2 linked regions of the Bombyx mori genome follow. The protein of the gene in region 1 interacts with the protein of each later gene in a pairwise test. Links are inferred from orthologs where the notes say so. Each region holds a gene or a part of one and is shown on either strand. Other genes may lie near its edges.

Region 1 (3,840 bases):
TACAATTAAAAATAAACAAAATATTACATTTGAATTTGGAATCTGTCATTTTTATATAATTACGGTACTCATTGAGTTTTCTCATTTTGGCGCCAATACATTGTACAATATTTTGCGATATTAAAATGGAGTGGGGTGATAAAGAGAACCGAATCGCTGTGATTGCATTACACAAAGTAGGTATGGAGCCAAATGCAATTTTTAAAACTCTCCATACGCTTGGTATTAGTAAAATGTTTGTGTACCGGGCTATTAATAGGTGCAATGAGACTTCCTCTGTTTGTGACAGAAAAAGATCTGGCCGTCCACGTAGTGCTCGTACGAAAAAGGTGGTCAAAGCAGTAAGGGAAAGAATTCGAAGAAATCCTGTCCGAAAGCAAAAGATTTTATCTCGGGAGATGAAGATAGCAAGCACCTAGAACGATGTTGCGTATTTGAAAAGATGACTTAGGACTTGCAGCCTATAAGACACGTACTGGTCATTTCTTAACTGATAATTTAAAAGAGAATAGGGTGGTAAAATCGAAACAACTACTGAAGCGGTACGCAAAGGGAGGTCATAGAAAATTTTTGTTTACAGATGAGAAAATTTTTACAATTCAGCAACATTTTAACAAATTTGTAGTCCCTAAAACAATTCATACGACTGGCAGTGAAAAATTTTCCCATGGAAAGAGTGCGTGCTTCTATTGATAACTAGCCTCAACATTTAAAGGACTGTATTGCAGCCAATGGAGACCACTTTGAATAAGCTTTTTATATTTAAAATTGTTTTATATTTATGTATTAAACTAACACACTGTAAAAGTAATAAATGTTATTTGCAATAGAATTTTTTTTTTTCCTTTGTCTCAGTATTTATGGCGAGACTAGGTATATGAAAATTGTATCGACGACAAAGCAATTATGGGTCTCGTAATGTATTCATAGCTCCGGTGACAATGTAACAGTACATCGTTTTATGACACTGGAATACAATTAGCAAGGGTCATGTTAGCTAAATGAGTGTGAGAGTACACTAAAAATGTAGGTCGCACGCAACCACGATGGTCATAGGTAAATTAATCTCAAGGGAAGGGTGTTAAATTAAGTTGTTTCATGGTAAGAGTTACACAATCTTATTAAATTGAGAACTTTTTTGAAACCCCTGGGCAATTTTAATTGAGAAATGGTATGGTCCTTTTAATAAGCGAAGTGCTTAATATAAGATTATTGGCATACTTCAAACTCTCGATAGCTTTAAATAGGTACCTGAGAAAATTGGAAAACGAAATAACAACTTTAGAAGAATTCATTTTGGGTATAAAATATTTGTGTAGCTTGTGGTAGGAATAGGGCGTACGCGGACGAGTATGTACCGCTGTATTTGATAATTTTTGTCACGAATCAATTAGTTTGGGTTTGAAGTCCCAATGTTGTTCCAATGATGTTATTGAAATTTCCATATTACTTATATGTAAATTTGGGCAGTGGCAGTCCCGTCACGACGTCTATGAGTTCGGGTAATTATCACTAATAAGTCTTAAGCTAGTTTCTTCATGCCCTAGGGAAGTAAGGAAATAAACACATATCATTTTCCTGCCCTTCTCTCAGTCACCTGGGGTCGGCGCAACATGTTTTCTCCTTCCATACTCCTCTGTCATATACCATATCTTCGCTCACTCCCCTCTTACATATATCGTTTTTCACGCAATCCATCCATTTCTTCTTAGGTCTACCTCTTCCTCTATATCCTTCCATATTCATAGTTATCACTCCTTTCTATTTGTCTCATCACAGGTCCTTACCATCCGAAGGAAATAGACACAATATAATTAAAAAAATATATACCTAAATACTTGGCTGCACTAATTTCCCTTGCACGTAGCACTGTATGGTAGAATTCATGAAAAATTATCAAAACTAAATTTACCTTCAAGTTGAATGTTGTGGATGTAATTTCTGATCGTATTAGTTATTATAAATAGTATGCGATTATGCCTTCGACGTAAAATCATTATTTGTTTCAGAAATATCAAAATAAATCAGGTAATGTTCGACTTAAAAACATAAAAGTTGTAATGGCTTCAGACATGGCTGTCAGTACTAGTACATCACCTAAGAGTTCTCTGGCGAAGCTGGTGCTATATCCTAAACCAAAAGCGTTTAAGATTGCGATATTGGGTCAATCTGGTGTCGGAAAATCAGGTAAGCCACTAAATCATTTAATTACAAAGAATTTATTCTTTAATTACTTGTGTGTACTTATGTACCCATAGTTTGTAGCTATTTGTTACCCATAGTTTGTAGCTGTTTTATAGCCTAATAAAATGTAGAACGTAATCCTCCATCTTCAAACTTGACTGTGGGTAGATCTTGGTGGGGGTTTCTTTAGAGATTTTCTATTGTGCTTTTGTGAAGGAACACCATCGTCTTTGTAATAAATAAATAAACCATAAGCTATAAATAATAAATACAAGAAACGTATAAGCTGCTTCTGAAGTTTTTGCTGTTGATTTTATTATGATATTTGTTTTGTTGATTATAATTGAGGTGTGTTGTTAGTCACCTGTTTTTACAACGAAACCAGTCAAGCTGATAGTTCTGCGTCTTAGGCTGCGACAGTACTTATGGAATATTACGAGATTTTGACCAAAAATCACAAAGAGGGTGACTTAATTCATCGTAATCGGTGCTTTCTATTGATTAAGATGATCAGCGAGCTTATTATTTATCCTTCATCATTCATAATCATTCCTTCTGTGTTCTATACATGCAAAAATTCATATTGGTTTGCCGTAACGCATAAGTCATCAGCATATAACAACACTGCTGCTTTCCTAATAATTCTGGTTTTGTCGAATTTCAAATTTAATTGAAACTGGCAACTATTTCGCTACGTTTTCGTTTTGTTTTCATTGTATAATTATTACAGCATTAATTGACTACATTGTAAAATGGTAACAAAATGATTTAAAGTAAATTGTAACGTAACCTAATTTTAAAACGGTTACCCTAAATCCAGTTTCTTGATGTCGCTTTTTACACGGTTTTCATTCTAGAAAGTTCTGATAGTTTCTTAAGTTTTCACGAGTTGCAGACTTCATCAAGTGATTACACGATGATCTTATTCCACTACTATATTCACCGTAAATGTGCAATTTAATTGTACTGACTACTGCCGCAATTTAAAATCAAAGTTCAAAATAAAGAAATAATATCGTAAGTTTAAGAGATAGTTTCAAAATTGATCACATTTCGATTGAAATAACGAAATTTTCACACGACATGTACGAATTGTCGGATAAATAATTTTTTTATCTGTTTTTAGCTTTGGTTGTAAGATTTATAACACGCCGATTCATCGGGGAATACGACTCGAATTTGGAAAAGATTTACGCTTTCCAAACCGTCATTGATAACGAGATGGTATATTTCGAAATATTGGACTCTGCCGGAGACTCGGGTGTGAGTTCATTAAGCGTTGTTTTTGTCTTTTTGTCATACGTGGTGGTCATTTACATATATTTTTACTGGTGGTAGGACCTCTTGTGAGTCCGCGCGGGTAGGTACCACCGACCTGCCTATTTCTGCCGTGAAGCAGTAATGCGTTTCGGTTTGAAGGGTAGGACAGCCGTTGTAACTATACTGAGATCTTAGAACTTATATCTCAAGATGGGTGGCGCATTTACGTTGTAGATGTCTATGGGCTCCAGTAACCGCTTAACACCAGGTGGGCTGAGAGCTAGTCCACACATATAAGCATTAAAAAAAAACGTATATGTGAGTAGCCCATAGTTCATATATTTTTATTGCATTGTTAGCAGGACGGGGAATATGCGAATTTGGAGAGCAATATCA
Region 2 (3,101 bases), on another chromosome or scaffold:
TACAACTGAGATATCAAGATTTATAAAGTATCTAAGAATCTATTGATATTTATTATGCTTGTTTTTTGAGATCCAATAGTCCTTATATTAAGCAATTACTTTTTTTTTATTGCTTAGATGGGTAGACAAGCTCACGGCCCGGCTGACCTTAAGTGGTTATCAGAGCCCATAGGCTCAAGGTAAAAGCCGCCATCCACCTTGAGATATGATTTCTAAGGTCTCAGTAGTTACAAACAGCTGCCCCACACTGATTTTAATTAATACATAATGTTATTCCTTCACTATGAAAGTCAATTGTGAACATCTTTTGAAAATTTGAAAAATTGGTACCGGCATGCAGGATTTGAATTCCAGTGCATCACTCAATACAAATGCACGAGTCGACTTATCTTTTAGGCCATGACAACTTCAGAATACTTTTAATAGTTACAATAGTTATTACAATCCTGTTTAAGGCTTATAACCAAAGTGAACAATAAAGTGCTTAATACACTCATGGCACTAGTGACCTTGACATGTCCAGGACCCCAAATGTTCATAATAAATAATAGAATATGCAATATATTATTACTCCTTTATTTAAAAAAAAATAATACATTAAACAATAACATAACATGTTATAACATATTAAAACAATGTAAACAAAGCAAATCTAGATTTGTATTATGTTCTTTGAACGTGTATATGAAATTTACATGAAGGCATAGACTGAACTTCTGCTGTGACAATACTGTTAATACAGAGATTAGCCAATCCACCTCGAATGAGCCCACAAGTGTAAGCAACATACTGAAATGGTAAAAACACTGATTTAGAAACAATACTTTGATAGTAAATTTTATTAATTCCAAAGGTCAATGAAAAGAAATATAAGAAATAATAGTTTTTACTCACTCTAGGAGCATATTCCAGGTACTGATGACCATTAGAAAAATTTGTTAGAAAACGGAATGCATTATCTTGAAGTACATAAACTCCTTGGTGGTTTGTACGAAGATTATCTATCTGTTTTTTGTAAATACAAGTCCAAAAATCTGTACATATGAATTTCATAGTATCTAATTCATCTTTAAAACGCGGCCATTCCCTCGTTAATCTTTCCATGATTTTATAGCCTGCCGCAAACCCGATGTATTCGACAACAGACAAATCAGTTTCCTGAAATCGATGTATTAAAATGTATTTATTGTAATAATATTGCCTAATCTCAAACGATTATTTAGTATTTAACATTACATACATATTGATTAAACAAACCTTTTCGCCATTATCGTTATTCTTGAATTTTTCAATAGAATAATTTATAATTTCAGAATGTAATAATTCAAATATGATGTCGTCGGCCATTCTTGAGGGGTCCAGATATTTTTAATTAAGGTTTATTACTCATTGCATATTTATTTATAATAATAACGCTTCGTAGGTAATATAATCTGTCTTTACAAATGAAAACACACACGGAAAGAAAAAAGGGGCTAAAGGAACTTTTGTATTGTAAATTGAGTAAATTCTTTTTTAATTTTAGTTTCTTTTTTTTAGGGATTTTATGACCTGGTAACTAAGCCCTTTAAGTCATGTCTTATTTTAATTTTTATTCTTAATTTTATGAAAAATGATAATATGGAGTGAAATTAAATGAAGATGATTAATTTGAGACATTAATCAAGTAGGATGAAATTAAATGAAACGAGATGCGATGATATGAGATGAAATATAATCTCAGTAAAATGGTAGCCATTTCCTAAAACTTTTTCATTGGACTTTTTAGAGGATCCCGAGAAGTTACGTTCAGCGGCTTTTTTTTATTTTCCCACATTTGTGCTTTTAAAGATTTTTTTTAAGGGACTTTATGACCTGGTAACTAAGACTTTTAAGTCATATCTTATTTTAATTTAAATTCTTATTTTTATGAAAACTGATAATATGGAATGAAATGAAATGAAGATGATTAATTTGAGATCAAATGGGACGAAATTAAATGAAATGAGATGAGATGAGATGAGATGAGATGATATGGGATGAAATATAATCTCAGTAAAATGATGGTCATTTACTGAGATTTTTTCAGTGGACTTTTGGAGGATCCCGAGAAGTTACGTCCAACGGCTTTGTTTCATTTTCCCACATTTGCGCACTTTCTCAGATATTAAACAGTTAATAAACCAACGTTATCACACATTTAAACCTGAAGAAACACTAAATAGACAAAATAAAACAATTCACACAACTTCACTCCTCGCGTTCCCGCCAAAAAGTCCAAACTTAACCACATTTTTTTATAATGGGTTTTTATGACCTGGTAACTAAGATCTTTTAGTCATGTCTTATTTTAATTTATATTCTTTTATGAAAAATGATATGGAGTGAAATTAAATGAAGATGATTAATTTGAGACATTTATCAATTGGGATGAAATTAAATGAAATGAGATGCGATGATATGGGATGAAACATAATCTCAGTAAAATGGTGGTCATTTACTTCTGAGATTTTTTCAGTGAACTTTTTGGAGGATCCCGAGAAGTTACGTCCAGTGGCTTTATTTCATTTTCCTACATTTGTGCACTTTCACAGATACCGTAAAATAGGGCGATTAGGGATTGAGAGGCGAATCGGGAAAAAACCGGGAAAATTTTCGACGCTCAATATTAGTTTTATATTCAATACAAAATCTTCCATTTTTTGTAGTTTAATAGTAGAATGTTGAAAGTTTACAAAACAACTCTGAATATGCATGATAATAGCTGCTAAGTTAAAAAAAATCGCGTTTCAAATTAACTTCCTGTGGTGGTAATTATTTTAGTGCTAGAAACTTTGCTCTCTATTATTCATTTCATAATAATAGAAGACGACTGTGATTTATAAACGTTATTTAGTGTTTGAACCATCATATATGTCAAAGGTAACTCTCAGTTGTTATTGGTATTAATGTATTTGATAAAATAAAAATACATGTAAAAATCTGTTGTTTTTGGGGATATTGGGGACGTCCTAGGTACAAATAACAATGAAAAAGGGGTCAATTGGGATGAGAATAAGTGAAATGGAAACTACCTTAGTATAAATAGGTACAGGTTTGTAGGGTTGTCTATATGGTTATAA

Evidence for each region.
Region 2: the proteins of ras-related and estrogen-regulated growth inhibitor (region 1) and trafficking protein particle complex 6b interact in a two-hybrid assay, tested with the Drosophila melanogaster proteins (2 studies listed by BioGRID). The link is inferred for Bombyx mori from reciprocal best matches to the Drosophila melanogaster genes CG5160 and Trs33.

The regions. Positions count from the first base shown.
Region 1 is NC_085119.1:9,102,784-9,106,623, forward strand, and holds part of ras-related and estrogen-regulated growth inhibitor, read left to right. Parts: intron 1-2,009; 5' UTR 2,010-2,060; coding exon 2,061-2,187; intron 2,188-3,310; coding exon 3,311-3,447; intron 3,448-3,806; coding exon 3,807-3,840.
Region 2 is NC_085131.1:8,415,710-8,418,810, forward strand, and holds trafficking protein particle complex 6b, read right to left. Parts: upstream 1,444-3,101; 5' UTR 1,348-1,443; coding exon 1,258-1,347; intron 1,159-1,257; coding exon 895-1,158; intron 790-894; coding exon 664-789; 3' UTR 558-663; downstream 1-557.